Linked DNA regions of Arabidopsis thaliana. The protein of the gene in region 4 binds, or shares a complex with, the protein of the main gene of each other region. Each region holds a gene or a part of one and is shown on either strand. Other genes may lie near its edges.

The links.
Region 1: DWA1 (region 4) and THO5 share a complex: the UniProt entries of both Arabidopsis thaliana proteins name them as parts of the THO complex.
Region 2: DWA1 (region 4) and THO1 share a complex: the UniProt entries of both Arabidopsis thaliana proteins name them as parts of the THO complex.
Region 3: DWA1 (region 4) and TEX1 share a complex: the UniProt entries of both Arabidopsis thaliana proteins name them as parts of the THO complex.

What each region holds. Positions count from the first base shown.
Region 1 is NC_003076.8:17,204,122-17,212,130, forward strand, and holds THO5 (THO complex, subunit 5), read right to left. Parts: upstream 5,530-8,009; 5' UTR 5,402-5,529; coding exon 5,150-5,401; exon of another isoform or gene 5,085-5,149; coding exon 4,794-5,084; intron 4,715-4,793; coding exon 4,378-4,714; intron 4,302-4,377; coding exon 3,964-4,301; intron 3,856-3,963; coding exon 3,608-3,855; intron 3,355-3,607; coding exon 2,763-3,354; intron 2,678-2,762; coding exon 2,543-2,677; intron 2,456-2,542; coding exon 2,189-2,455; 3' UTR 1,850-2,188; downstream 1-1,849. Other genes in the region: AT5G42910 (Basic-leucine zipper (bZIP) transcription factor family protein), read left to right, coding at 1-731, 825-926, 1,025-1,090; AT5G42930 (alpha/beta-Hydrolases superfamily protein), read right to left, coding at 6,617-6,868, 6,997-7,480, 7,604-7,739. UniProt on the Arabidopsis thaliana protein: Acts as a component of the THO subcomplex of the TREX complex which is thought to couple mRNA transcription, processing and nuclear export.
Region 2 is NC_003076.8:3,064,968-3,073,718, reverse strand, and holds THO1 (nuclear matrix protein-like protein), read right to left. Parts: upstream 7,142-8,751; 5' UTR 6,905-7,141; coding exon 6,902-6,904; intron 6,803-6,901; coding exon 6,719-6,802; intron 6,643-6,718; coding exon 6,568-6,642; intron 6,472-6,567; coding exon 6,369-6,471; intron 6,209-6,368; coding exon 6,063-6,208; intron 5,984-6,062; coding exon 5,912-5,983; intron 5,786-5,911; coding exon 5,713-5,785; intron 5,623-5,712; coding exon 5,557-5,622; intron 5,461-5,556; coding exon 5,414-5,460; intron 5,225-5,413; coding exon 5,153-5,224; intron 5,026-5,152; coding exon 4,900-5,025; intron 4,823-4,899; coding exon 4,757-4,822; intron 4,678-4,756; coding exon 4,636-4,677; intron 4,504-4,635; coding exon 4,387-4,503; intron 4,295-4,386; coding exon 4,212-4,294; intron 4,003-4,211; coding exon 3,936-4,002; intron 3,809-3,935; coding exon 3,737-3,808; intron 3,638-3,736; coding exon 3,587-3,637; intron 3,498-3,586; coding exon 3,438-3,497; intron 3,361-3,437; and 3 more. Other genes in the region: CESA5 (cellulose synthase 5), read right to left, coding at 283-363; AT5G09850 (Transcription elongation factor (TFIIS) family protein), read left to right, coding at 8,498-8,751. UniProt on the Arabidopsis thaliana protein: Acts as a component of the THO subcomplex of the TREX complex which is thought to couple mRNA transcription, processing and nuclear export. Contributes to the integrity of the endogenous trans-acting small interfering RNA (ta-siRNA) pathway.
Region 3 is NC_003076.8:22,721,211-22,728,327, forward strand, and holds TEX1 (Transducin/WD40 repeat-like superfamily protein), read right to left. Parts: upstream 3,890-7,117; 5' UTR 3,856-3,889; coding exon 3,790-3,855; intron 3,694-3,789; coding exon 3,598-3,693; intron 3,424-3,597; coding exon 3,294-3,423; intron 2,982-3,293; coding exon 2,890-2,981; intron 2,780-2,889; coding exon 2,711-2,779; intron 2,526-2,710; coding exon 2,468-2,525; intron 2,352-2,467; coding exon 2,252-2,351; intron 2,160-2,251; coding exon 2,073-2,159; intron 1,989-2,072; coding exon 1,910-1,988; intron 1,815-1,909; coding exon 1,679-1,814; intron 1,580-1,678; coding exon 1,545-1,579; 3' UTR 1,272-1,544; downstream 1-1,271. Other genes in the region: AT5G56120 (RNA polymerase II elongation factor), read left to right, coding at 273-983; AT5G56140 (RNA-binding KH domain-containing protein), read left to right, coding at 4,252-4,442, 4,957-5,042, 5,400-5,545, 5,958-6,071, 6,148-6,264, 6,347-6,490, 6,573-6,722. UniProt on the Arabidopsis thaliana protein: Acts as a component of the THO subcomplex of the TREX complex which is thought to couple mRNA transcription, processing and nuclear export. Contributes to the integrity of the endogenous trans-acting small interfering RNA (ta-siRNA) pathway.
Region 4 is NC_003071.7:8,412,370-8,419,715, forward strand, and holds DWA1 (DWD (DDB1-binding WD40 protein) hypersensitive to ABA 1), read left to right. Parts: upstream 1-2,676; 5' UTR 2,677-2,847; coding exon 2,848-3,173; intron 3,174-3,260; coding exon 3,261-3,337; intron 3,338-3,418; coding exon 3,419-3,464; intron 3,465-3,591; coding exon 3,592-3,652; intron 3,653-3,740; coding exon 3,741-3,794; intron 3,795-3,884; coding exon 3,885-3,965; intron 3,966-4,056; coding exon 4,057-4,096; intron 4,097-4,368; coding exon 4,369-4,469; intron 4,470-4,641; coding exon 4,642-4,752; intron 4,753-5,008; coding exon 5,009-5,125; intron 5,126-5,281; coding exon 5,282-5,371; 3' UTR 5,372-5,625; downstream 5,626-7,346. Other genes in the region: AT2G19420 (uncharacterized protein), read left to right, coding at 1,210-1,514; AT2G19440 (O-Glycosyl hydrolases family 17 protein), read right to left, coding at 5,795-6,408, 6,476-6,975, 7,115-7,346. UniProt on the Arabidopsis thaliana protein: Acts as a component of the THO subcomplex of the TREX complex which is thought to couple mRNA transcription, processing and nuclear export.

The DNA.
Region 1 (8,009 bases), on a different chromosome or scaffold from region 4:
TGCCTCCAACACTTAGCAAACAAAATGTTGGTGAAGTTTGGAAATCTATCACAGAGGAAAAACACACCAATAACAATGGAGGAGTAACAAACATTACTCATCTTCAGGGACAACAAACCTTAGGGGAAATCACTCTTGAAGAGTTTTTCATCCGTGCTGGAGCAAGAGGAGGTAATACCAATGGTGGCTCCATTCATGACTCATCGTCATCGATTTCCGGTAATCCACACACTAGTTTGGGTGTTCAGATTCAGCCAAAAGCCATGGTTTCTGATTTTATGAACAATATGGTTCCAAGGAGTCATGATTCTTATTTGCATCAAAATGTGAATGGATCTATGTCAACATATCAACCACAACAATCTATCATGTCTATGCCAAATGGTTATTCTTATGGAAAACAAATCCGATTCTCAAATGGTTCCTTGGGATCTGGTAACCAAAGTCTCCAAGATACGAAGAGAAGCTTGGTCCCAAGTGTTGCGACAATTCCAAGTGAAGCCATAACATGTTCACCGGTTACCCCATTTCCAACATTAAATGGGAAACAAAAGATTAACGGTGAGTCTTCATTACTCTCACCATCTCCATACATTAGTAATGGTAGTACTAGTACAAGAGGTGGGAAGATTAATAGTGAAATTACCGCGGAAAAACAATTCGTTGACAAAAAGCTTAGGAGAAAGATTAAGAACCGAGAATCCGCAGCGAGATCACGGGCTCGAAAGCAAGTAAGAAAATGTTATATATATATATATATATTATCTATCCATCTTGATTGATTGTGTTTTATAAGTACCAAACTGCTCATTTTTGCTCTCTAGGCTCAAACTATGGAGGTTGAAGTTGAACTTGAAAACTTAAAGAAAGATTATGAAGAGCTACTAAAACAACATGTAGAGTTGCGGAAAAGACAAATGGAACCAGTAATCTATTTATTCCAATCTTATTTCCTCAACCGTACATCAATTAAAAACTTGAGAACCTTGTTCTAACTTTTTGTATATCTAAATAATACGTGAAGGGAATGATTAGCCTTCATGAACGACCGGAGAGAAAGCTGAGGAGAACGAAATCGGACATCAAGTGAATCAATGAAACCCGAGTTGGAGGATGATGATGAGTTTATTTTGTTCATCATGTTTTGTTTTCGTATATTTTTGACCAAATAAGCTATTTATTAGACATCTTATTCTTAAACCCATTTGATAATGTCCTAAAGATCGAATTCTCATGGTCTAGGGGAAAATCCAAAACTTATTTTTATTGGAGCCAGAAAATACTACTATTAAATATTATTATTTTGGCTTTAGAAAACAATGTCATACTAATCTCAACCATAAAACTATAAAATTATATTATAGGCTCAATAATTGCTGCTAAATTTTTTCACTATTGATTCATTTGCAATATACAAAAATAACTCCTATAATAAATCAAAAAAATTCAGTGTTGATTCATTTGCAACAAAACACGAAAAATTTCACTGTCTTTTGTGGTTGGCTTTGTTCTTCCTGGGACATGGGAGTGAATTTAGCAAATCGTGGTTCCTCTTAGGTCTTCGTTCATGCCTTTGATTTTGCTTTGTCTTTTTGATATGTAAAAATTTACGTTTGACAGTTTTCCTGTAATTTAGGGATTCGCTTCCTTCTTTTGGATTAAGTTTTTGGGATGTATTTATTTTCCGCCCGCTCTTGTAATTCAAACTTGCATATTTCCTTGGTAATTGTACTTAAATAAGATGACAAAAAAACTAAAAGTTAAAGTAAATCAAACTATATAATCACTTGAAAGTTATAAACTAATATCCAATTTGATTTGGTTTTGTTTTCTTCACTACCTCCAATTGCAGGAACAACATTTGTCAATGATTGCAGTAGCAACCTGTAATAACGGTTGTCTACGAGTTGATTCCTTTTTTTTTCTCCAAAACCTGTGACGAGCCCTTTTTCACTTTTCTAGTTTCCAAGCTACCCGCTAGGCTTTAATGCTTAAATCGAGACCAAAACAGAGCAGGCTAAAACGGATTGGACTTGAAACATTGCCAGGTTTAAAACAGACCAGGTCCTCACCCAACAAGTAGGCTGTTTCAATAACGGTTTATACGATAAAAAAATGTTACATGCAAAAACTTTTGCTTGTACCACCAGAGAAAGATAATATAGAGAAGTGAGTGGCGATGTAATCTCTAGCATGGATAACCCGATGCACATCCTCTGCCCTTCCATGAGATCATTTTCCGGTGATCTCTGCCTCTGAATGATCTCACAAGAAGCTTACCGTCAACAGGCTTGCACAAACCGACATCAACCACAGTTGTGGCTGTTCCTCTTTTGGAATCTGGAGATGGGTCATCCACGTAATAGTCGAACAACATTGCTAAGCATCTGATTTGATGAGATAGGAGATAGTTTTCTTGATCTGAAGGAATAATCTTCAACATATGAAGGTTCACCTGATACCGCCACGAAAAGGTTACAAAGGCGTTATCTTTGGTGTCATCGAGTAAAGATTAGTATATGTTACTGGGTTTGACACTTACTTCTGCTTCCATTGCTCGAAGTTCATTGTAATGGTCACTTTCATTTGTCCCATTTTCATTTCCTGATGAAGAAGATGCGTGGAGAGACAGAGAAAACAAAGGAGGTCGAAGAGGATACTCCATGCTAATTTGTACCTGCCAATACAACTCGATTTAACACTTAAGAAAGAAAAAGATATAGGGAAGATACCGTATTAGAAGATAGTGTTTTAGAAGTTACCATTGCTTCTAACTTCCACAACTTTCCGCCATCTGTTTTCCTGGAGAACACAAGCGCAAACTCTCTCGAACCATAATCCACCCATGAATTATCAGCTTTCTCAGGGCATAACTCTTCCACATGCGCCTCAGTTCTTCCGGTTGGCTCATCTATTTCACTATCATCGTCCAGAACAAGATCCAAATCATCTTCGTATTTCTTGAAACTTGGGGACTTTCCTTTGCTAATCGGAGAATCTAGATTCTTTGTCATCAAGGCCAACTGCCTTGACCGTGCTTGATTAGATACTTTCGATGGGGTATGATTGGAACTGGTTAACGAAGCAGCCGCCGTGACCAAAGAGGGAAGTTCTCCATCTTCCCGTATACTTTCAAAATCTTCTTTTCCAGAAATAGATCTTCCATCTACATCGATTTCCATAGGTTCTGGAACTTGTTCCACACTGTTCAGAGTCAGAGAGCATGACTTACTAGCTGAAGATTGTATATGTAACCAGGAATCCAAAGCACAGAGAACCTTATGCAGTGCCCAAGGAGCATCTTCGCAGTTCACCACTGGTAACTCATGTTTCATAAGCAAATCAAGCTGTTCCCTGTAGCCAGTAGAAGTTTCCAAAGTATTCAGCAAAAATAAACATATCAACAGAAATAATTACCTATAGAAGCTCTTATCACGAAGTTGACAATGCTACAGAGGGATTAAATTGACCGCCAAGTTATTGACAAACCCAAACTATTAAATGTACAAACCATATGCTGATTATCATGGTGGTCTACTAATTTTCTGGAATTCTTTGCATCGTGTTCTTTAATTAAGACGGAAAACATACAGAGTGGTGAACTCACGCAAGAGCCAGATGCGCTTTTTTCCGCAAGCGTATTCTTCGCAGAACTGTTTGCACTCTATGCTGCTGGCGATACAATGAAAGATCAGGCACAAACGTATCACTTTTAGCTGGGTCAGTGTTATGAGCTTCTTGGCCTAATAAAACCGGTGAAATATCAATTCCCGCCAAATGTTGTACCCATTTATAAGGCCTTGAAGTTCTGTTCTCATCAAACGTCTGACCATCACCAAGGATGAGCTTGGTTGACTGCATGGAAAACCGGCCATATAAAGAGAATTGAGTATGCATTTTTAAAAGTAAAGCCATCAAAAGTCACATGTAGAAGAAAACTGAAACACAGAAACAAAAAGTTACCTGATGAGGAGGCTCAAGTCCAGCGTCATCTGGAAACAAGTTACAAAATATGTTTTTTTCTGGTCCATCCTGAGAGCCTTCAGCGCCAACACATACAACATTCAACTTCAGCAAGTACTCAAACTTGAGAATGACAAGTTTCAAGGATTTTGTATCTGGTATCTCATCATCATATATGTGAAGGACAATTTTGAGAGGGTGGACTTGATATAATCCTGCCTTGTCAGAACCTTCTTTGCTAGTAAGTTTCTTGGGTCGTTTTCTTCTCCTTTGTCCATCATCATCGTCATCAGGTCCATCATCCTCCAACCTAGAACTCTCTGTATTACTCGACATACCTGAAAAACCAATACCAAATTAGCATTCTTTTCGTTTTAGTATTAGAAAACACAGTAAATTTTCAAAACAACTTACCTGAGTCCTTTCTGGATTGTTGTCTAGCATAAGCTTGAGCATCCTTAAGACTCCCAACTACCTCCAATTCAATACTCTCCTCAAAAGCTTCCTTTTGTGCCAAGAGCTGTGAGTATAGAACATAAAGCGGAGGAGGAAGCAGCTCAGCTAAATTATGCTGCTTCAGTTTCTTTGTGTGCTGTATACCCAAGTGGTTCTGTACTGGAAGCGATGCTTTCTTCAGAGACTTAAGGTGTAGAGGAAGACTCGACAAAAACTTCTTACGCTCCGCAATGGTTTCTAATAAACTCTTCTTCTGTTGCTCCAATCTCGCTCGATGCTTACACAATTCTTTCCTCTGAATCAAAAAACATAAAAAGGTAATGAAACATTATATCACGTTGAATGAATTTCAGAGATGGTGATGATTAACCAACCTGATGAAGCTCAAAATTGAGTCTCTTAGGCATCAAAACATGAGAACTATCACTTGAAAGCGATTGATCTTTGATAGCTTCAGGAGCATGACGAAAGAAGTCTTGTTCAGGAACAAGGTCAATATCAGGATACTTAGATTTGAAATCTCTACAAGCCTTGATAGCTTTAACGTAATGGCTCTTCTCATACATAAGATTATGCAATTGCAATGTCGTGAAATCAACAGGTGCCTTTGCTCTTTCCGTCTCCGCTTTCACTTTATCTTCCTCAGTCAAAATCGCCCGATTCGCCTGCGAAAAAAACCCTAATAAGTATCGTATAGCGAAAGAGGTGGAGGGAGAAGATTGGTAAGTACCTGACGAAGATTGACGAAGTTGAGGAACATTTGAGTGAGGAGTTCTCGAATCTCAGATTTGTGGTTTCCTTGTTTTTTCATGGAGAGCATCTTCGCGACGATTTCTTCTACGGAGGTTTTGCTCTCTCGAAGTAGCTCGAGTGGAGATTTTCCTGGCTCTCGGGGAGGTTGTATAGTCTCTATGGTAGTTACTTCCGGCGTCGGGAATTCGTCGGCAGTTACCATTCCTTCCTCTATTTCGCCGTCCTCCATTCTCGATTTCTCCAGTCAGGCTCGCTCCGGTACTTCTGACAGGATTTATGATTTTTCTCTTCTTCTTTTTTTTTGTTCTTTGTTTTTTTGTCAAACTATTTATGATTTTTATGTAAACTATATTTTGTTACAAATATTATATCTACTCCATGATGGGATGATAATTGCGTAAAAGAGATTATGTAACATTTTTTTTCAGAAAATTCTGTATAAAGACAAGAAAAAATTTGGTTTGATATCAAAAATATTATGTAAAAAACACCAAAAAGGAAACTACTTGATAATTTTGGTGAAGGAAGAGAGAGACATATCAGATATGTCGTGGTAGAACAGAGGTTTGATCAATCAAATAGCCTTCTATGGTACGGAAATTTTATTGAGTTGTAGCTAAGCCTTATAACTAGATTTACCACTTTGCGGATTTGGATTTGAGTTAATATTCTAAAAGTTATCTGTGTTTTCGTAAAGTCCTCTGTTTCAGACGTGATTTAGACCAGAGTGTATTAAACAAATTATCTCGAGTGCACCTGCGGTCAGATCATCACTAAACTTTGAGGTTAGCTTCAGGACATCTTGAGGGTTGAGTTTCAACGGTGGAGATTTGAATTGGACGGTTAGATTGCGATTCGTGACTCAATATTTGAGACCAATTGTTTGGGTTATTTTCAGATTTTTTCCAATTTAGGTTAAAGGTTGGTTTGCTGTTGTAGTTGGATGTATGGTGAGTTGAGATATTGTTGGTGAGTAGGAAGTTACTGCTCGTTGTGGGATTGTTGTTTTTGGTTTCAAAATCATTCTTGTTTCGAGGTGGGTATGTGACCATGAGATTATCTAAGCAATTGAGATTGTGTGATTTATTTGTTGTATGTATAGGCAGTATTTTTGGTACCATTATTCAATCCCCCGAGATGGTTGTGTCAATGGATGATTGTTCATTGGTTTGATTTATTTCATGATTTATTTGTTGATTGTTATATTGGTTTGCTTGTGTGTATAACTCGCAGGTAAGAGAATCGTTTCACTAAGTATTTATTGAAATATTTATGCATTTCTTTTCTTGATGCAGATAAAGATAAAGTGAGACGTAGAATCATTGCGAGAAAGAAAGGATGATCTAAGGCCAAAATAAGAAAATAACACCTACATCACCGAAACGAGACCCTAGAAAAGCTAAACACATCAACTTTTCAAAAGAATTTATGACTTCGTCAAAATTTAATCAAGATGCGAGTCAGGTAAGTCACCTAAAAGAGTAACATTGATGTACTCATTAGGGAAGTGAGCAGGTAATCCAGGAATCAACAATGCAACAACCCTAAAACACCTTAAGAACCATCCTTCTCTGAACTCTCCACCTTTCCAATAAGGCATGACGAAACTACGTATCAACTCCCACAGTGCATTCATTATCTTTGGTAAAACCCATACGAGATTAAAGTAGTTTTTGTTTGGTTCCTCTTCCTCTACCTGAACATAATACAAATTAAACAACAACAATGTAGATAGATATCATCAGTAGGGTAAGTGCGTAAGCGACATTAGACGGATGAGTGATTAAAGCAAAGAAACAAGATTGTCATATATATGCAACCAACCTTTCCTTTATAGAAACTGTCATAGTAAAGGCATGCCCCAAAGTGTTTAAACATGAGTGTTTTGTCGTCGAAAGGCAACCTAGGAACCATGTCGTTGCAATAAACATATCTTTCATACTTCACGTCAAACTTCTTTAGTGAATCTTTCATGAAATTTCCAAACTCCTCGTCGCCTACGCGTGGCTGTCCAAATGTGTAAACTCCTTCTAGTCTCTCTAGCATTTGCTCCTCATCATGCATCACCAAAACAGCCGTGAATAGGATCGCTAAAGCCCCACCTAGGCTATGTCCGGTCAATATAAATTTAGATGTCGGGTTTTGGTCGAGGATTTCTTTTAAGTGACGCCTAACAGTGTAGTATGCATATAGAGTTGTTGCGTTTTGGGTTTCGTCAAGGTTTACTTCTTTAGGCCATCCTTCTTTTTGAAGGCCCAAAGCTTTCATGAACCCGCCATGAATCTTTCCCACATTCTTAACCTCGTACCTATTTTGGAAATCAATACTAGTTTTATTAGGGGGGCTAAAGGATGAACTTAAAGAGTATAAAAACAAAAACCTAGACTGTTTGTGTGTGGAAATAAATTATAACAAAAGAAACTAAAATTACCAAGAGAGATCCAGGTCTGTACACCAATCATCGGCATCGAAAGGATCAGTGCCTCTGAAACTAACGATGATGAGGTTTGGATCTGTACTTGTGTCCTTTATAACAATCACCTCCGTTGATCTTTGTTTCTGGTAACCTAAAAACCAAGGAAGAAAAAATAAATTAATTTTTTTTGTTTATATAATATAAATAGAAAAATGAATTTGATCTTAAAACTGTATATGAAAAAAATGAAAAAAAAAACTGTATATGAAGTATTTTAGGAAAATTTAAATTCTAGAGAATTTGAGGTTATTGTCTCTAAAAATTTTAAATATTTTAGCACACATAGACAACTATTTAAAAGATACAAACATAAAATTTCTAGTCGTAATTTTATGTTTAATTTAGAGGCAAAAAGGTAAGA
Region 2 (8,751 bases), on a different chromosome or scaffold from region 4:
TTCTTTTAAAGCAAAGTATTAGATTTGGGGATTTTTTACACACTAAAACTCAGAATTCAATCCCCACCGACACAAACTTTCACTGTACATGATGATAAAAGTAGGTAAGAATTATGGAATCGTGTACCCTAATTGATAAATTAACGATGAAATGTAAAACCCAGATCCAGAATAAGAAAAAGGCAAAACCTTTACACAGAGCAACGAAAATTTAACAATGTGTGCAAATCAAAACAGAGAGAAAGAAGTGAAAAAAGCTTCAATTTTGATATAAATTCTTACTCTGGCACTCTCGTCTGCATTAATCAACACGAACTCATTCCTATTGTGAGAACCAGCGATGAGCCGACCACCAGTATTCATAGTACCGACAAAACAGTAGACAGTATGTCAAATTCAGACACACACACGCAATCTCTAGCTTCCGAGGTCTGCAACCGGGTCAAGTCAACCCAACAGGTTGGTCGAGAGAGATCCAGTCGTTACAACTCCCATCAAAACATGCAATTACAAGCTTTGCAGAGAAGATTTCTCAGTTTCTTCTGAAGAAGTAATGAGGAAGATGGGTGAAAGGTTAGGTATTGGAGTGAATCCAACTGTTTTTCTCTGAAACTCCAAATGTACGCACACACACAAGTTCACAATCAATATAAAAGAAGAGATAGTGAAAGGTGAGCTGCAGCTAATTAAAGAGAGAGGGGCTAATGTAGAAGAAGAGGAGAAAGAAGAAGACGCGTAATGAAGAAGACGAAGAGAGAGAGACACAGACGGAAGATATTGAAGTACCTCCTCAAGTAATCAACTACCAAACCAAAGTAGAGAAAGAAAACCACACAAACTACCAACAAAAAAATAAAAAGAGATTTAGAAAATAAATAAAAGATAATAAATGAATTTAAAATGTGGGACCCAGTAAAAGTGTGTCGCTTGGCGCTCTCTGTCCTCCACTCCTATTTTGTCTTAACAGTTGGTAATTTCGTTAAATTCTTTATACAAAAAAAAAAAATACTGAGTACTTATAAAGTAGACACAAAAATTAAAATGTATAAATTGACTTTAAATTGACGTAAGAAAAATTAAATGAATAATTTTGACTCACTGAGTCTTTTTATCGGAAAAGGACGAAAATTTTATATAGATTTGGTAAACATTGGATCACCCTTTACATTTATTATTTCCCTCTATTTTGTTCTTCTGTCTCCTGAGTGATGACTATACTAATCACAATAAAAATAGATTCACAAAAATAAAAGCTATATATATAATGCTTAGAGGATGTTGAGCACATTGGTTTTGACTTTTAACTGTGTTTTATCAATGTACTTTATATTAACCTGAAATATAAAATTAGAAATGTTCAAGGAATAACTTTCTTTATTTCTTTCATTTGCCTTGATACAGACTTAAATTCTCTAATTCTATTCACTAGCTCTTGCGTAGATACAATTAAATTAGGCTCCACCCACACCATTATTTTTCCCATTTGTCTTTTCTCCTGTTTTGCATATACAAATTTAATGTACTGTTGACCACAAAATATTATGTACAAGTGGAAAACAATGTGCAAATTATTGAGACTATCATATCACATCATATTTATTTATATGCCATACATCCATATGTATACATTTGCCGACAATCTATATACCTATATATGTACACTATAAGTTAAGTCAAGAAAAACTAACGTATTTTTTAGACAATATTTGCGTAACACTAAAATCACAATATATGATGTTTTCAATGTTTTTAACCTGCTCTTAAATTTCAATAAAGTACTAATAAAGTTGTGAGTTCGTCTTCTTTATATATAAAAAAACATATGTAATTTTTAGTGTTAAGCTAATATATGCCTAAAGACGTAGTAGGTTTATAAAAATAAATATCTATGATTAGAATGCATTCTAGGTACTGTTTGTTTCCAAATCCTTTGGGCCACATGATCTGATAGAAAATTAGAAAAGTGTCGGTGCCACATGTATCTTTAGTTTCTTCCGGGAAAATGATGAAAAAGTAGCATGTTGTTGTTTTGGCAAAAACCTTTTGTATTACAATAATTAAATGACTTTGTTAATAAATCATGTTTAAACAAAAAATTAGTATATTCGGATTATGTTTAGATCGATCTACGGTTTTGTATTCAAACGATAAGTAACAAAAATAGGCAACTTTTCATTTGTCGTTGACAACACAAATCACTCGGTTGTCTCTTGGTCGATTCTTTATCGCATCGCTGTGCCAACATTGTTTAGTCTTTTTTTTGTTTCAATATGAGTCGACACTTTTTTTGTCATAACAGTGCGACGACTATAAGACAACTGTGATCTTATGTGACAGTGCATCAACAATTCAATAGTGAATTTGGGTAAATTTATAAGGTGATTTGATATGCATTGACAAGTGATAACGACTAAACAAAGTATATACATTTTCAATGATTGGAGGTAGTAATAATATAACCAAATAAGCCTACAATGAACTGGTATAGTTTCACGTATTATTGGATTTGGCATATGATGAAACCTTATTATTATATGGAGATCGGTGGTGTTTATGGACTTTAAAAATCGTGACACGACTTAAAAACCACTCATTTATATTCTAAATAAATATTGATGGCAAAACATAAAGTTTATGTTGATAGCTATAATAGTAACACTTTTAGCTTTTGGTTCCTCAAGTATTTGATTTTTTTGTTTGTTTGAGTGTATTTTTAGTGGATTGCAATTGAATCCAATGTTTATTAGCTGCGAATATGTGTCTAGTGTTACACTTAGACGATAAATTACGCAAAAGAACTTAATTGTATGATGATTTTGTTGAGTATATAGAAATGGAAAGACAGGTAATAAGCTAGCAGATTTGCACTCATACAAACATATTTAGAAAATACCTTTTAACATAATTTGTTAAACATCAATACTTTTGAACTTCATATCCAAAGGATTCCCCATTGAAGAAAGGGTCGACAAACTGAAAGCGTATTCATGAGACGGGCATAGGAGGATGATCAAGATCAGTGTCCATCAGACCAGCTTCTTCTGTCTCTCCGTCTTCGATTTGACCGGCCTCTTGACCGTTTTCTGTATCAGAACCACCGAGTCTTTGCTGTTCCTCAGGCGTAGGAGTGTCTGCAATAGCATCACTCTCCATCGTCTCTGCATCACCCCTTCCTCCTTCAGCTTCAGCTTCACTATTAGAAACACCAATCTGGTTTCCCTCTGTTTCATGAGATCCACCTTTGGTTTCTTCTTTCTTCGCTCGTTTGGCTTTTTCGTTTGGTTTAGCTTGGTATTTGGACCGGACCTCAGGCGGCAATAGTTCAACTGGGACAACTCCTTCGATTCCCATTTCAGTAAACTGTGAAAAAGAAAGAAAAAGGTTTTAAAAAGCAATCATATGAAGCATTGGGAAATCGAAATCGAAGAAAATTTTACCCTAGAAAATCCTTCAAGGTCTTGCCGAGCTGTAAACCGAAGACCTTTCCAGCAGTAAACCTATCAAAACAGTAACAATTATCTGCCTTAGACTGATTCAATTAAGCATCATAAAAAAAAAAGTTGTAAATCAGAGGAAAGTTATATACTCTGTTGTTTTTATGATGGTACTCATCTTCTATGCCAGCTGATGGATCCATCTGAGATTTTAACAAAACATCAGGTGTGCTAATAAGACATCAACCATTTTTTTTAAGATGTCCTTTGGGAAAAATAAAGAAAACAGTATGTTAGCTCACATCTTCTGCTAATGGTTTCCAGTAGTCTGCAATATCAGGGGTTCGCACGCGTTGAGAATCAGTCAAAGCATTCTGTTATCCCATCAGATATACAATTATTGTAGAGTCGTAATATGAAGATTGAGCCGAGAGGAGAGCTGGAGAAGCATGTGGCATAATATGAACAACGAACAAGGATGCAAAGAAAAATAATGCATACCGGATTTTGATCTGCCCATCTCCAAAGTTGGGAGAGTTCTTTATTTCCCAATCTCCATCTTTGTCTCCTGTAAAAGCAAAAGATAACCCATATTGAGCCTAATACTCGTAATGCAGATTTATTAGTTGTTTCTCACTTTAATGGACTAGCGACCAGAGATCACTAGGGAAAAAACATCTTCTCAATTTCTTCCACGTAATGTATTCTAAATTCGAATGGCGGACACCATCTATGAGTACAAAGCAGTTAGATTACAAGGTCAGCTTTTCCCCATACCGTTTCTTTTGCCCTGCATTAGGTGATTTCTTATCTATCGGTTGCTTTTCAAATGGTGGACATCCATCACGTTTCCACCAGACCTGTTATTTGTGTATTGTAGAAGATCATTAACGGCCCTCAACTACAAGCCAGAAAATCATGCAGCAGGTAAGAGAGAAAGCAGCACACATACCCAATTCTTTTCGCGCTCCAGTATATGCTCAACTGCACGGAGGAATTCTTTCCCTTTAGGCGGAGTGATCTCAAGCAATTTCTTTACACGATCCTCACATGACTTAAGTTCTTCCTTCTAGACCGAAAAGATAAACAATACCTTTGAGTAATTATGCATAAAACCCTGAATACTGAGATATAACTAGGTTTGTGAACCTTTGAAAGAAAGCAAGAGGAATTTTCTCATTAAACAAGAAAAAACACTGACCATGGTTTCAGATGGCAGATCTTTGTCGTTCTTCCCTGGTGCCTAAACGGAAACAGGATTCAGTTATACCAGAATACCAGAGAGAGTAATTTCCGTGCAATAATTCTTGAGAGACATTTACCCTTAGATAATCAAACATAATGAGGCACTGGAGAAGAATATGTCGTCGGAAACTCGAATCCTTTAACTGTGGCGAAAGGTAGAAAAAAAAGTGAGTGAACTGCTAAGTTCAGAAGTGCGCATGTCCAACCACAGCATACTTACCTCTAAACCCATCAATTTACTACTTGTTAGGTACTTTATATTAAAAGTTGCTGCCTCTTCCTCCAAACTATTAGCCTCTCCCTCTTCTTCGCTTAGTGGTTGAGCATCAAAGGTGTTTAAAACAACCTACATAAGCAGTTCAAGAAACAAGGTCTAAGATGATTTCTCACTACCGCCAGCATGAATTTTCTATGCATATACATATATACAAGACCAGGTAATGCAATTTAGTCAAAAACCAAAGATCACATACCGCCAAACTGGATGAAAATTTCTGCCACTTGGTAGATGCGGAAGTAAGAGAAGCGGGATTACAGAAATACTCCTGGAAACGAAACAATTTTCTCAGTAAGAAAAGAACTATCTCAATAAACTAACTAACAAAAGGAAATTTGAGATGCTATCTCCAGTAATGTTGATTTTGCATGATATGCAAACAGAGGTTCTATGAGACAACCCTTATGATAAAGGCATAACATTCGTTCCCTACAAAGTTCCTTTAACTAATACGCACCTGTAAACTCCAAAATGTCTTGTAGAAGTTGAAATCTACAGAAATGCCTGAGAAGCAATGACATAGACAGAATAAGTAACACGTTTTAGAATTGTCATATGGAGATAAGGACCAAAAGCATAAGAAAAAAAAAAATCACTTGCCTTTTGGAGGATCTTTTTCATATTTGGTTTCATTAGATGTATTAAAAACACCTTTTATATTGACGGCTGAAAGAATAAGTCACGCAAGTAAACGTTACACACCTTTTAAACATTCACATACCAAATAATCGTATATGCACGAGAAACCCTTCTTACCTGAGCGCTCAGATAACGGAAAAAAGTGAGCCAAAAACATAAGAATCCTTCCACAGAATACAACATCATTGGCCTGTATGCCAAATAGTGAAAGCAAAAAAAAGAATTAAAAAAGAGTGGATGTGTTATATATGAAAAAGTAGATTATGACTTATGGATATTTGACAAAGGGAACTAGAAAAGGGTGCAGATAGCGAACCTTTGAGAGTCGGCGGAGAAGTTGGTTGCAAGTCCTCAACATGACAAGTTTTCCGCGTGCAAAAAGCTCTTGCTGCAAATAATTGCAACATCCAAGTCAAAATACAAGATACAACTAACCGAGAAAAAATTTGATTTCGTTTAAGAAATACCTTGCCCAATATATCTTGTTTGCTTTCAATATAACCGAAAACATCTTTACAGTTTTTCATAGTAGACATTTCGGTCAAATCCTCCAGCAGCTGGAATATCATGCCACCTTCTACATGCTCTTTCTCACAAAGATAAAGCACAACATCTAACAAAGCAATCAAAACATGAAGATGGTGAGAGGTTAGACAAAAGTAGTGAGGACAAGATGATAAGCAATAGACAACAAGAGAATAAGAAGTTTTACGGGGACAACGCTAGCACTTGTTTGAACGAACTATGCAAATCAGACTAGAGAGATTGCTAACCTAGAAGATGAGGAATCTGTCCATGTATATCATCATCATCATCATCATCGTCAATCAACTGACCATACTGCATAATTTGCTCCCCTGATTGCGCAGCAGCAGCCTGAAACCCCGAAAACAGAAAGAGAAATCCACACATATATAAATGAACAAGTATATACGCATACCACGAAAATATAATAGTGGAGAAAGAAGAGACCACTAGCTCCTGCAGCAATGTCCGGAGCATGTTTTCAAGCATTTGGTTTTCATCTTGAGCCAACTTTGTTTGTTTCTGTCAAATTTTACAATAAAGACAATAAGTAAGACTAAAGGAGTGAAGAAATTGTTAGTTGATTCGAAAGAGTTACCTGAGGTTGTATAAAGTGTTGAACAGTCTTGAGTGCAAAGGTTTCAATTGGAGCTCGCTGCAATATAGCATCTCTAAATGCATCCTGCGAAGAACCACAAATTGCAGAAAACAAGTTTTTATAAGCTATATAGATTTAACAAGAAGCAAAAGAAAACAAGTCTCATAATCCCAAAAGAGTTACCATTATTTCTCAATGAACCAGCTTCCACTGCAATGAAGAGGAATTTACCGACGACACCAAAACCGGATATGCCGGTCAAAATTCACGGACTATGAGTCGCCGGATTTTAAAAGTTGATTAAGAAGAATTGAATAAAAATCTGGAAACGGAGGCCAAACTTGAAGAAGAGTGGAGGAAGAACAATTTTAATTTAGGGTGGATCCGGATCCGGAAGATATCCTCCCAACAATCAAATTATCCGCAAATATCCGGGCTTGGATCTGGATCCGAAATATTTTTAATTTATAAACTGAATAACAACATGTTCATTGGGCCTTTCATAGTAAAATGATATCCGTTGGGTGGTGGGCTTCACATTATTTAGTTTTACAGAAGACCTTTGCCTGTATATGTTGGATATGGCGTAGTTTTAATGTGTGGAATCAAATCAATTAGAAATTTAAAACATCTGTATTCAAAAATTGCTCGAAATTGTTCATGGTATGTTATTGCAGAAGAAATCATAATAGCTCACATGAGAAGGATTTGAAGATTTCAAAAATTGCTCGAAATTGTTCGAGATAAATATTAGGTTCCAATAATTGCATAAAAGACATTGTATTCATAATCTACACTCAACAAGTGATAAATAAACATTACTTCCTAACAAAGTAAACTTTGATGGATCGAACACCTCCTTCAACACCTAAAAACTCGGATGTGATCTTCTCTTTGGGGGTTTTGATTGTACCGTCGACGTAAATTCACTAAACGATTAGTGAGTGGCAGTGGCTCATGAGATGAAAGTCATGAAACAAACACTTTGAGACCAAATGAAAATATTGATTTGACATATTGGGTCCACTTGCTATAGGGCCAAAAATTTAGAGGCCCAATAACCAAAAAAGTCGAAACATGTAAAATGTTTCTCGTCACTTGAAGAAAAACTAAAAAAAGTAAACGCCATTATTGAAAGAAAAACACTCACATCTCTCTCTCTCTCTCTCTAGAGCTGTTCATCTCCCCAACCACAACAAACCAACTTGCTTAGCTTTGCTCTGTCCAGGGCAAAGAGCATCATCCCTCAATAAAGCAATTCCCATTTTCTTCTTTTACTTTTGTCCTAAAACTGTTAATTGATTCTGTCTGAATATTATTTTTATTAACGGACCAAACAAAAAAAAACTTGCAGAAGAATGAAAGAAAAAGCAATAACCCTCCAAACCAAATTCTAAAGCCTCAAATTTGGAATATTCCCTTTCTTCTTCATTCCCTTTTTTTTTTTTAATTTGCCATTTACTCATTATTGATCTTATGTGAGACGACCTCCTCTGTTTCTTTCTTCCTCGTAACAGTAAAGGGTCTTCCTTTTTAATCTGAATTTACCAATCTGATTCTTCTGTTTTTTGTTTTTTTTATTTGTCTATCTTTTAAACTATTTGAAATCTAAACTTTGTTTGGTTCTTCACGATTTTTAATCTCCGATGAATCAAATTCATCAAAAGATTCATCTTTTAGATCTGGTTACGTAATTCGATTTGCTCTGTTTTTTGTTTTTCGTTTTGAATTCTTTATTAAGTAACCAAATTTGGGGAAGAAGGAGGAGTGTGGGTGATAATGGATTTGGATGATTTCCGATCGGTTATGGATAACGCAGGTGTTGATGTTTGGACATTTATCGATACGGCGATTCTTGTTGCGTCTCTTGACTATGGTCAAGAACTGAAACGTCGGAGAGATAACATCGTCGAGCGTCTCTACGCTACGTCGATGGCTAACAAGTGTAGAAACTGCGATTTTGGCGGCGGTGGTAACGTTACGGAGGCGGCGATTGGTAGGGTTAATAATGGGAGGGTTCACGAGGAGACGGA
Region 3 (7,117 bases), on a different chromosome or scaffold from region 4:
TTTGGAGGAGAAAATATAGCCGTTAAAGTGAGAAAAGGTCTCTTACTATGTTATCGCAGCAGTAACAACATAACGTAAAAAGAAAACAATCCGACCGTTGTACATATAGCCGTTAAAGAACAACAATTTAAATACCTGAAATTTTGTGAAAGAAAAGGAATTCTTACTAAAAAAACACAACGAACTCAAATCTTCAATCTTCATCTTACTCTCTAATTGCTTTCCTATTCCGATCTCTGTTTCTTCATAAAGTCTCAATCTTTTTTTTCTCTATGGCCGGAACTAAAGATTCTCATGTAGTGGAGATTCCAGTAGATGAAGAGCATAAAGAGAGACAACAACAACAACAGTTGGTTGCGGTCTCAAATCCGGGAATGGGAATACTCAAAGTGATTCAGCAGCATCCGTTGTCTGAAATCTCAGAGAGTCCAGGACATTTGTTGCTTTTGAAGTTATGGCAAAGAGAAGAAGATTTGTTCTGTCGTCGTGTTCTTCTTAAAGAATCAAGACTAGAGTCAATCAAAAGAGAGATCTTTCAGCTTTGTTGTTTCTTCCTAGTCTTCCATGGGTTCTTCTTCACACTTGTCTACTCTTCTTCTTGTTCTGATGATGCTGACGTGGTGAAAAGTAATGCGGTTTGCAAGAAATGGTGGATACCTTCTGCAGTGTCATTAGCTACTTCATTGGTTCTGGTGTTTCTTGTTCAAGCTAAGCTGTTTGTGTTCTGGAAAGTTTACAGAGGTGTTAATAGGGAGAGGAATGATAATAGAACGCTTACACGGTGTGTTTTGGAGTTGAGGATGAAAGGGTCGAGCTTTGATTTGTCGAAAGAGCCGATGAGTGGGAAGAGGATGAAGAGTTCAAGCGTTGAGATCAAGTGGAAACCTGTTACTTGGTTCTCTCAGTATTTGATAACTATTGTTCTTCTTTGCTCTGCAGGGTTGTTCTTCCCGGTCTCAAAGTTCATCCTCTGCGGATTTTGACAAACTCTTCCTATTCACTGTTTGTTCGGTAAGCAAATCGTGTGCTCTTCTTGTTCTTTAATCCAAAATTGGACTCTCAGTAATAAATGTGTTTTCTTTCTCAGGACTCTGCATTCTTTCTTCAACCTTCATTGTGGGGATGATGCTTTTGGTCCGATCTTACCATTGGCCTCTGTTCTAGCTTTGAGAGAGTAGCTGTCAAATCTCCCAGACTGAAGATTCGCCGGAGGGAATAAGAACAACCTGTAACTTTTAGCAGTACTCACACATAGTAGAAAATTGATGTAATTCGGGATTAGAATTCTGATCTTGATCTTATTAATTTCATTCTTCGTTAATAATAAACAACATTGCTTGTATAGTAACAAATTTTTGCAATAAATAAAATGCCAGATTCAGAACTGCAAACTTTCAATGTATTTAGTGATACTGTAAGATTATTCCAACTTGATATACTGACAATACATATTTAGGTACACTAGGCACATAAACTTTTTCTAACTCAACAAGGAACAATCAAGTGGAGTTGTGTATCATGTTTCCCGATTCAGTGCTCTGTTCCTACGAGCTCTCAAAACCAAATATCCGGAAAACACCTGCAAAGAGATCCAAGTTGTTGTCATTGTTCATTTTCTGCTACCAATATTAGAGTTTTGAGTTGTTGCTAACAATGAAGTACTAATACGCGGTAGTACCTTCATCAGTATTATACTTGGGATTCTTGTCATCACCTGCATATGCAAGTAAATTGTATTTGGGATTCCACTCAACACTGTTCATGGCTGCCCGACATGGAATCTGATGCACCGTCCGCCCGGTTTGGACATTAGCCTGTTTGGTAGTTAGTGGTCAGATACGAGGAACTAATCTCATATTGAGGAAACTACATTGAAATTAGCAGTGTTTAAGTCTGGGCAATCACTTACAATATCAATGAATAAATCTTCACTGGCTGAAGCAATATACTCTCCCGAATAGTTGAAGCTTATTGTTCTGACTGGCCACCTGTGAGAAATAGTTATAAATTACTAACATGTAACAGAAATTAAACCTTTTTCTACTCTATGGAAAATTCATGTTGATACTCACTCAAGTTTGGTAAATGTTCTCAAACAAAGCATGTCTGAGATATCCCAAAGGCTTACTAAGGAATCCGCACTCCCGACAGCAAAATATCTGTTAAGGTAAAGAGGAAGAATTAGATGCAAAAGCAAAAAGATTATCATTCGTGTCTCAGAGGCCAGCCCACAAATGTAAATATATATTACCTCCCTTTAGGATCAATTGCAATACAATAACACCCGGCTGTGTGGGCTGTGAGAGTGTCAAGTGGTTTAAGAGATGGATATGAAAGAACTTCAACAGTGCCTGAGCAGGACAACATACAAAGTAACTTTCAGTAAGATCATTTTCTCAAGTTCAAAAACAAAGAAATCTTTGGTAGGGAATCGTGTGCAGGAAAGTACAGAATTTAAAATCCTCACCAAGTCCAGTAGTCAAGAAGAAAAAATCTCCAGGCATGTTCCAAGCAATCTCATTAACCTGTTACAAGAAGACAAAAGATAAGAGAACATTCCATACGGCACCAGAAAATTACTTGACGATTATTACATGAACAAGGAACTTAGGTGACATATAACCGCATGAGCTTGAAACAGGAGATACGGAAGAGCCTTATAAAAAAAAAGCCATTAATAAAGATTAACATGAGTCTGAGCTTACGTTACCTCATAATTGAATTTGCGCCTGTGTAGAGGTTTAAACTTACGGACATCCAGAATTGTAAGCTCATCATCCTACATTGGCCAGTAAGAGAAAGGACAACGACTATGAAAAGGGATCTATCAAGTAATCCATAGACAGTAAGAACAATGAAAGTGTAAAGATATGGGGCTCGAGACAATACCCTATTACCAACAGCTACATGTGTCCCGTCAGGTTTGTAGGTGATGTTTATATTCTCTCCACTAAGTTCTACCTGCTGTGTGCATTTTCCACCTGTAGAACTCGAAGAAGACATATCTCAGCAATTGATAGTAAAACATACAATAGTAGCCACATATCAAAAACCTGATCAAATTCCTCTCTTATGGAATCTGGCTAAATAACTAATTTATAATTCTAAGAAACTTAGATCCGATCCTCATCAATCAATAGTCTCCGCGATATGACTCAAAAGCAAAGGCCAAGATTGCGAGAAATATTTGTGAATGACACATAGCTAATCCATTAGAAAATATACAGATTTCTAAACCAAGCTCCAGGCATATTTCAGGAGCAAAACTAAACGATTAAAAGAATATAACTTACTGCGAGCATCCCAAAGACGAACGCTTTTATCACCAGAGGCAGTAGCAACAAGATCTGAATGTTTGGGATCCCAACATAGCTGATCCACACTATCAGTATGACCCTTTAGCTCAAGGTCCTTAGCCTTGCTCTGTATCCACACACCACACAAACAACCAAATTACAAAAACTACATAACTCAAAAAGTAACAATGACAAAGATAATAATCGAGTTTTAACTCAATCTACAATACTTCTCCATATGTATTCATCATCATCAAAAACACATAGAAGTTCCCATAGCTCAAAAAGGTAAAGAAATTACATGACCGTGTGGTTCGATATTCCAAATGCGAGCCGTTTGATCAACAGAACCCGAAGCAAGCTTTGTTCCATTCGAATTCCAAGCTACTGAATGTACCTTCAATCCAAAAATTCCCCCAGATTCAGCAAAAAACTAGGGTTTCGCAAGTTTTATTGAGTACAGAAAATTAGACTGGAGATAGAAAAAAAAAACCTTCTTCTTATGACCTTGATATTCTCTGCTATGTAAGCTCTTGAAAGGAATCGTCGTCTCCTCCATTTTTTAATTCTCAACTCTTCTTCTTCAACCTTCCTTCGCGGCCTACTGAATATCAGAGCTTCGCTTCCTGAAACGCAGCGTTTAGTCATTCCGGTATAGATAAACCGAATCGAATTTTAGTAAACCGGATGTAAAAAACCTTCTAGATGGTTAAGAGTCTTCAGAGAGAAACTAACAAGAAGAGCGGTAAAATTGGGTAAAATATGAAACAAAGAAAAAAGGTGAAAAAAAAAACAGCTAAGCAAACAACAAGTAATCATTTCACAGTCTCTATAAAATGACCTCTTAAATCCACCGACGTTATAGAGAGACAACAACAGCTTTGGTTCTGCCTCCGCCGCTTCTTCTTCTTCTTCTAATCTCCGACAGATTTACTCTGATTCTGTTGTCTTCGAGATGATGATGATGTCGTCGCTTGGTGGTGGTGGTGGTGGAGGAGGAGGAAGTGGTGGTGGTATTGGTGGTGGCGGCGGAGGGAGGTTTATGACGTATTCGTCGTCTCTTTCGGTGCCTCCTTCTGCTCCTCAGTCTCCTAATTACTCCGGTGGTCTCCGATCACAGTCTTCTGTCTTCGTTGAGCAAGAGAAGTAATCGAATCTTAGTTTTTCATCTTCTTTTATATTTTTGTTTTTTATTGTTTGGTGATCTTTTATAATTAGCTGATGTATCTGATGAAGTATGTTGATCTTTGCTTTGCTGATTTTGATTTTTAGATCTTAATAGTGTATCTCGAATCTGGATTTTTGTCTTTTTTGTTTTCTTTTGATTATATTAGGATCTATGTTTCGGAACTAGCTCAGTCTATTTCAGATTTGTCTCAATCCAGTTCATTTTTTGTAAAGCATAAGTCTTTAGTGTGTGAGGATCATTTCATTGGTTGTGTTCGTTTCTGTTATTGTTGATTTCTGTTCTTGGCTGATGAAACTGTTAAAAAAAATACGATTTTTGGAAGATTGACTAGATCCACTTCACAAAAGAATGGAAATTTGAATCTGGTTGTATCGATTTAGAGTGAATTTGAGTGTATCTGTTTGTAAGTTTGATGTGTCTTTGAGGCTTTTTTACTAATTTGGATACTCTGCACAATTTCTGTTTTGGCAGGTATCTTTCAGAGTTACTTGCAGAGCGTCATAAGCTTACTCCATTCCTGCCTGTGCTTCCACATGCATTTCGGCTACTAAACCAAGGTGAGCATTACTGTTTTTGTTGTTTATTATTTGTATTTTCATCTCACATAATACTTCATTCTTTGCTTCAGATTCATGAAGCTATAATACAGTTGATAAACTCTTAAACAGTACTGCTAAGAGAGACCTAATTGTTAGCTATTAGAAGTAGATCACGAAATGACTAATTCTATATTTCTTATACTGACTTCATTCTATTTAACCAGAGTGTATTTAACTAGAGTGAGAGCAAAAATATATTTTAAGCTAACTCAATTAACTATGCTGTCTCTCCATTCATTGGTGTCTTGGTGACTGATTTGTTGACTAATTCTAACTGGTGCGTCTTACTCTTGCAAATTGACATTTTTGGAACAGAAATTTTGCGTGTAACCACACTGTTGGAGAATGCTACAGTTTTAAGTCAGAGTGGGCTTGACCACCCTAGCCCTCTGGCTTCTGGAGGGATATTTCAGAATGCAAGAGCTGACATGAATGGATGGGCCTCCCAGTTTCCATCAGAAGTATGACTACTAACCATTAACATAACTCTCTAATTCATACTACTGCAATAGAAGTTTTATTGACTTAAGTTATAATACTGACATAACATATTTGACTGCTTTTAGTCCTAGTTTATCATGACAGGTAGGCTAACACTTCATATCCGTAATGTTTGTATGTTCATACCTTAGATCAACACTAATTAGATACTCCACTATCCTCACGAGTAGGATTGAAATTAATGCTATAATTTTCTCATATATCTGTGGTCACTGTATGCATATTATTAGGATATAACAGCTACAGGTTGAAATGCCTTGATACAGTGACCACTCTCATTGAATGAAGTTCCAGGGCAAGAAGTTGCAGTATTCATGTGCTTATGCTTAAAGGTTGATCTTGCTTCTAATTTTGTTGGTTGATCATTTGCAGAGATCTGTTCCATCATCTCCGGGACCAAATTGGCTTAACTCACCTGGTAGTTCGTCCGGTCTCATCGCCAAGCGTACAATCAGGGTCGATATTCCAGTCGACAATTATCCGAATGTATGAACTTTCATTTCTACACTGAGATATACTACTTCCTGGTTGGAATGTAACTCCTTAATTTTCTATATGGCAGTTCAATTTTGTTGGTCGCCTCCTGGGTCCTAGAGGAAACTCCCTGAAGCGAGTTGAAGCAAGTACTGATTGCCGTGTTCTTATAAGAGGAAGAGGAAGTATAAAAGATCCAATTAAGGTATTTATTATTAAACTTTACAACTTCATTTGTATCTACATTTCAATGTTTGTACAAGGTGTTAATATATTTCTTCTTGTAGGAGGAAATGATGAGAGGAAAACCGGGATACGAGCACCTAAATGAACCACTTCATATCTTAGTGGAAGCAGAATTACCGATTGAAATAGTCGATGCACGGCTCATGCAAGCTCGGGAAATACTTGACGATCTTCTTACTCCTATGGTTTGTTTTTAGCTCTCCCCCTCCCTTTGATTTTAAACCAGTTATTGTTACAAAGTTTTCACACTCGGTTTCTGTTTTATAGGAGGAAACCCATGATATGTACAAGAAACAACAGCTGCGCGAGCTAGCATTGCTCAATGGAACTCTTCGTGAAGAAGGATCTCCAATGTCCGGTTCTGTTTCTCCTTACAATAGCCTTGGTATGAAGAGAGCCAAAACAAGAGAAGGGTAAAAACCATCGAACAGTTTGGCTGTGATCATAAAGCAATATGAAACCGATCCAAAAGTCGACACAAAAAGGCCATACCACTCTTGACGACACGGTACTGTCTCTTGTCCTTGGGGTAGAAATGTTGTATATATGATTTATGAAATGTGTTTGTCAGTCTATGTATCATTGTCCCGGAGAGAGATCAGATGACAAAATTGCAACGGAAACACAAGAGCTGATGAGTCTCTGTCTCTCTCCGAGACTTTGATTTTGTTTTTGTTTATGTTTTTATGTCTGGAAAGTTGGGTTCCAACAGTTTTCTTTTAAGTTTTTTGTTTATTTGTTGTTTTAGCAAAAAGAAAACATTAAATCATGATGATGGTTTGTGTCTGGTATTGGTAATGATAATAATCATA
Region 4 (7,346 bases):
ATATGGTCATATCTATCTAACCATACACAGAGACGTTTGCTGCCATGCATGCATGATGCATATATATATATATATGTGGATATAAAATATATTTAATTTATATACACATAGTCCATAGATAGATAGATAAATAGACGTAGAGAGGGAGAGAGCAGGAGACAAGAAGAGAGTAAGCACGCAGAGCTTTCGAGCATGAGCATGCTAGAAAAAGAGCCATGTGTGCTCACTCTCTTCTGTCGCCTTCGTTATTGCTATTCCCTTACCTCCTTTAGTTGACTTGCTTCATCTTCTTGCATGCATATGATTTTGATGTTATATTAGCCTCGGTCCCTAAAATTACTATATGATATGATGATATGATATGAAACAGTTTGTCTGATTTTAGGGTCTATATATAAGGATTGCTAGGGTCTATATATGATGATGCATGCATAGATTTCATCATCATCATCCACTGACCACTAGCTACGTTTAATTTATAGAAAGATTCCGCCGGATTAAACTCTTATTTCCTGTCAATTTGAGCAACAAGATTCTCTCTTTTCAATTATATATACATAACACATGTCTATAATATACGTACAAACCAATAAAATTGGACTCTTAACAAAATTTTGAGAGTGAGAGATCCCACTTAAAACGAAATAAACTATTTGTTTGGTCATTGCATGCGTAAACGACCACTTGAACAATTAAGTATACATAACATAGGTCTAGATCTATGTGAAAGATTCCCAAACTTAAGATCTCTAGCTAGAACATTCATTGATCCTCCAATCAAAAACCAAAGGAATAAAAAGTAATCTTTGTAAGGGCGAATGTAAAACCGAAACGTAAGCTAGAGGAATTGATATTAAAATGGAAGTAAAAGCGAATATTACTAAAGGTTTTGGAGTTAATTAAATAAAGACAAAAGATGCAAGGACAACGAATTATGAACATCTTCGAAATACGTTTTTAATATTGTTTTGGCATTTGATTTGATTTGATTCTCCTTCCACATTCCCTTGTTCATATGTGTTTGTGTCTCACGCAAGCACTACATAAGCGGTCCCCCTAAATACGTTTCTAGAAACGTCAACGTTTATTCAATCATACCAAAATTTACATGTGTATTCATCAATCAGCCGACCATAAACTACATGGTCCATTAGTCATTACCTATACTGCAATTTTTCTAGCTTTTAACAGCCATTATGTACTTCACAGTTTGGAATACTGGTATGACGAAGAAAAGTCGAGGTAAAAAACGTATTAGAATAAATGTTTATCGTCCAAAGATCGCACCAGCAAAGAATAAGAAACCTAAACCAACAAAGGAACAATTAATGGACCCTGAATTTTCTGATGAAGACGTACTTACCAGCTTGGGTTTTGATGATGGCGGTTACATAATACCACTACCGAAAAAATCTCTCATGTTGATTAATCTACCAGATTCTTTTCGAGATGAGTTGCAAACGATGCATGTCAGTTTTTATCTCCGAGAAGTTGGCAAACTTATGTTTGGGTGAGGACAAATATGCTCTAGTGAATAGTACTAAGAAGTTGATGCTTACAGATGGTCTAGGACGGCTTCATTTGTTTTGGATGAATTCAATTTTTTTTCCGAATCAGTATTTGCGAATGAGATTTATGTAGCCCTAGATGTGAGATTTATGAAAGCTGGAAGTGCCAAAAAGAAAGGTGGAGATTTTAATTGTAACAAAAACGCACAGAGTCTTCTTTATGATTTTTTCTTGGTAGATATAGATGAGGAGATATATGGGTCAAAATTTGAAGAGACGGAAGACCAAAAGAAGTGGAACAAAAAATTTTGAATTGATTTGTCTTCATCATATTGTGCTATTAACATTAAACACGAAATAGAGCATCTGAATCTTGAATTCTATGGAATCTCTAAAACGAATAGACAGATCTCCGCGGAGGAAGTGAAATTCTCTACTCATACTGCATTCAAAATTAATTGAGTTTTTCAATTACATTGGAGGTTTATCCTTTGATACTTTCGGTTTGGTGATTTGAATGAAATGTTGGTTTTGACAGAAAAATGAATAACACTTGCATTAAAATCATCAAAAATTGAATAACACTAGAATCTAAGGAGGTGTATTCGATCTTATATTTTAAGTTATTTGAGTTTTTATATAATTTTGATTTTTTAAAGAATTTGGATGAATTTAAGGAGGTTGTTATGATTTATGGTAAAATCCTCTCAAATTCCACCTAAAACCATGAGATTTAAAATTATATATTTTTAACTAAGAAAATCCACTTAAGTCTCTTAAAGTCACTAAAATCCAATCTTTAAAATGTTTTCAATAACAGAAGATTTTTAAGGAGATTTTAAAATCAGTAATTCAATAGCATTAGATTTCATGATACTTTTAAAAATTCATAATTGAATAACATAGGATATGTTAGTTTGAATAAGATATCCTAGGTGTTAATTTACTATTTTTAAAAAGGTAAGATTTTTTTTCATGTTTTTAAAAAATGTGAGAGTTTTTTTACCTATTTTTCTATTAAAATGAAATGTATAAAATTAAAATTTTGTTTTTAAATAAAATTACTAAATTAAATATTACAAAATATGTATATATTACTATTTAGAATTCAAATATTATCGATACAAAATTAAATTTATTTCTTCAATTCGTCTATTTAAGCAAGCTAGTAATTTGATCGACAAAAAAAAAACAAGCTAGTAAAATATAATTAACAGAATTACTAAATCGGCCGGTTTAGGGATTGCTTTCTCTCAGTCGTCAATTGCACTAAACCACTGGTGGTAATATCGCTGGCGTTTCGCAAGTATCACCGGGAATTGCAAAGAAGCAGAGGACCATGTACGGAGACGCTACAAACTGGAATGAAGATGAGTATAGAGAATCAATTTTGAAGGAGCGAGAGATAGAGACACGCACCGTCTTCAGAACCGCCTGGGCTCCTCCGGCGAGAATCTCTAATCCAGACGCATTTGTTGTAGCCTCCAGCGATGGAACTTTAGCTTTCCATTCACTGAACTCGCTTGTGTCTCAATCGGCGAGTTTTGGCTACTCGAAAGGTCAAGATGTTATGGTGGCTGAACCTGAGAGAGTGGTTAGGGCACACGAAGGTCCTGCTTATGATGTTAAGTTCTATGGTGAAGACGAAGATGCTTTGCTACTTAGGTAGAGACTTAAATCTCTCTTTGTTGATTGATGAGTCTTTGATGAATTGTAATTGAGAGTTTGAAATTTTGATCTGGTTATGTGTAGTTGTGGTGATGATGGTAGAGTTAGGGGATGGAAATGGAGAGAATTTGCTGAATCAGATGTGTCTCTTCATTTGAAAGGTGTGTGTGTGCCATTTTTGTGGTTTTTGATATGAATGATGCTTTTTGGAGCTTAGTGGTTGTTTTTCTTATGATCTACAGAGAATCATCTGAAGCCATTGCTTGAACTGATTAATCCACAACACAAGTGAGTATGAGTTTTGTTCATTTTTTATTCTACTTGATAACTCTGTTACTGAAAATGCTATAATTGTGGGTTCAAATGTCAGTGTTCGTAATAGTTGTGTGTATAATCACCATTCTTTTTCTTATAGAGGTCCTTGGGGTGCGCTTTCACCGATGCCTGAGATCAATGCCATGTCTGTTGATCCTCAGGTTGGAATTGTATTTAAATTTCATTGCTTGGTTAGACAGTCTCACAGGATAACTGTTTCACCCTCTCTCACTTCTTTCGTTTTGATAGTCAGGAAGTGTATTTACAGCAGCTGGTGATTCTTGCGCATATTGTTGGGACGTGGTATGTATTTGACCATGATAGATGTATGTCCTATGTGAATCCAGATATCTTAACTTTCTAAAATCATTTATGTGTATCCAACAATTTCAGGAGAGTGGTAAGATTAAAATGACCTTTAAAGGTCATTCAGACTATTTGCATACTGTAGTTTCTCGTAGTTCTGCAAGTCAGGTAATGATGTTACCATAAATATTAGAAATGCACCTATCCAAATCTGAGTTCCACATTTGGATTTTTGTCTGATTGTAGTCTCTTTCTCCAGATATTGACGGGTTCAGAGGATGGGACTGCGAGAATCTGGGGTAACATGCTCCCGACCATATTTCTTTATGCTGTAATTTCTAGTATTAGGTCATACGTGGTTATAGAACTTTTGAAATCATTTGAGTCTTCATGTTGGTACTTAAGATCCAATGCTCCTCAGTTTTGTTGGCTGCTTCTTACAACTCTATGATGATTCATTTTGGTGATTACAGAACTTTCCACTATGTTATGTTTTGGTTCATGTGGTTTACTTTAGTTGTCTAGACTAAGCTTTGTTCGCTCAAGGGCTTCTTTCTGTTTTGTCAACCAGATTGCAAAACGGGAAAATGTGTTAAAGTAATTGGTTCCCAGGATAAAAAGTCCCGCCTTCGCGTTAGTTCTATGGCCCTTGATGGGAGTGAAAGCTGGTTGGTAAGAACTAAGCAACTAGATAATCTAACATTTTCGCAACCTGCTATTTGTTTGAAGGGATTGTTGCCTCCAGTAACCTAAGAATATAGTTCCTTTCTCCTGAAGAATCACTTAGAAGTTTAAATACTGAACATGTATTTACTGTTATTGGTATGATTTTCTCCTCTTTCAGGTTTGTGGACAGGGCAAAAATTTAGCTTTATGGAATCTTCCCGCCTCAGAATGCGTACAAACAATACCCATCCCTGCACATGTACAGGATGTGATGTTTGATGAAAAGCAAGTAAGCAGAACAAGATTAGATTGAAATTTAAGCAGTGTAATTTAAAGCCTTGGGAGGCCGTGGGTGTTATTTGTTTATCAAGGCTTAATAGGTTTATGTAGTATCTCTTTGAATCATCCCTCTTCAACGAAGTTTATTAAAAAAATTACTGACTTTTCTAAACTAGAAACAGAGGTCAACACCTAGTTTTAATTCCTGTGCTAAAGTTTAAACATCTTTTTAAAAATGTTGTCTTTAACAAGTATCGCACTATCAGATTTTGACTGTAGGAGCAGAACCACTTCTAAGACGTTTCGACTTAAATGGAGCTTTGCTTTCTCAAATTCACTGTGCTCCTTGTTCAGTATTTTCCATTTCCTTGCATCCAGCAGGAGTATGTTTCCAATCCCTTCTTTTCTCCCCATTTCCTATATATGTGTTTGCTTTTCTCCCATTTCCTATGTTACTGCTAATATTCTGCAAATATGTTACCCCTTCTGGACTAGAAACTCAATGTTTAACCGTTGATCCAATTCTTTTGTATTTGCAGGTAGTTGCTGTGGGAGGTTATGGAGGTATTGTTGATGTCATCTCTCAATTTGGAAGCCATCTCTGCACATTTCGTAGCAGTTCATTGTAAAACTCCTTACAGTTTCTTGATTTGGCTCGATACCCTAAAGAGGTACCGAAATGTGTCAGTCAGATTATTGCAGAGGTTAAGAAACCTTTTCTTTGTTTTTCTTAGGATCTTGCTCCTGACTAAAGACCAATTAGTTGTTTGGTTAAGTGTAATTGGTTTGTGGTTCCGTAGTTGCTATCAAATTTGAACCATTAAAATGACATTGGACCGGTTTAGTCTGATCACGTACATTAACTGCCGTTAGAGTTTCAATTTTTTGCGAGTCCTGTTTTCTTATGACCACCATTGATCAAATATTTGGATCCATAACTAAATGATTCTCACTCTTCCAAGTAAAATTTTACCATATTATGCAATTTAATACATGGACAAAACATATAGTTTCCATATCCACAAAAATAAGTCCTCAAAAACATCACTAATCTAAACCTCAAACATCACTCCTGATAAGAGAAACCAAACTCCAGCGATCAACAAAACCAAAGAAGAAGAAAATGAAGAAGCTGTGGAAGCAACAATCTGAATAGGGAAATTGCATTGTCCCTGAGATATATTCTTTGTGGTAATGGTGGCCAAACCTTGGAAGATACAAGCATCCTCATCCTGGTTCTTTACTTGAAAATACATGTTAAACGCATATGAAGCGTTCCCATTTGCATCAAGAGTATTGCAAGAAGACCCGTAACCAAGCGCAGTGCAATCCGAAAAAGTGCAGGCGTAATCTATGTTAGCAGCGAGTTTTGTCAAATCTTTGGCTTCTGTATTAAACATACACCACTTCTTAGGTTGATACGTCACGTTCTCGGCACCAATCAACAACTTGTTCTGTCCTTGACCTGATAGATCTATAGGAAACTTTGGTTGCCCGTCGAATTTGAATATTCCCCAGTGGCGTTCAAACTCTCCCGGTGCTATACTTTTCGCATCCTCATCAAGTAATCCAAACAAGTATACCTCAATGTAGGTTGGTCTCAGTGGAGTGCCTCTGTTTTCCCCAAGCCTTGGTAAAAGACCGTTGTAGAATCTGTAAGCACTGCCTGCGAAAAATACGTTTTCAAAACATTTCATTGCATCTAAAGAACTGGAAAATGTTAGATGTCTTACCACTATTTGCGTGTTTGTCACCCTCTGTTGGCCAACCGACTTCTCCAACGATGATTGGCATATCTCCATGACCAACAGCTTTCAAAGCCGATACCAAAGTGTCGAAATTGGCATCGAAAACGTTTGTGTAAGCAATACCATTGTCATCTACTGGTTTAGCACCATCAAAGAAGGCGTAATTGAGTGGAAAATCATCATTCCCATAGAGGCTTAAGAAAGGGTAGATGTTAATGGTGATGGGTGCACTGTTATTGCCAAGAAAGTCAACAATCTGAGTCATTTGACCGATGATATCAGGACGGAATCTTCCTGCAGATGGCACAGGGTTGCTTGATGGTGAATCGTAGACATCCGCGTTTAAAGGGACTGTCGCTTTGACGGAGCTTCCTAGTCCAGCTTCATTCAAAGCGTTTTGGATGTTTTGAAGTGCAGGGAATGTGAGGTTTATAAATGATCCATTGTATGATTTGAGGAATGGCTCATTTCCAACAGCTACAAACCTGAAAACACATCCACAAGAGATTAGACATATAAACATTTTGACAATGTTCTTACCAGATTAACATTTTCAGAGAATTGATTTCACAACCGAACACATTAGAACCAATATATAACAAGCAGAGGGAGAAACTCACTAACGTGATATTGACACCACCATTGAAGTTATAACGAGTGACATTCTTATGAACCCAATCTTTAGCTCGGTCATAACTTCCCATAACCTTAAGCTGATCATTAGGAATAGCAACCATAACTTCAAGACCAGAGCCAGAAAGTGCACTCATAGTGGTCTCATCCGCATCAAAAAGCTTAACTTTGTTAATGTTATTGTCCTTAAGCATTTGAACCACTTTCTTTGGTGGAAGCTTAT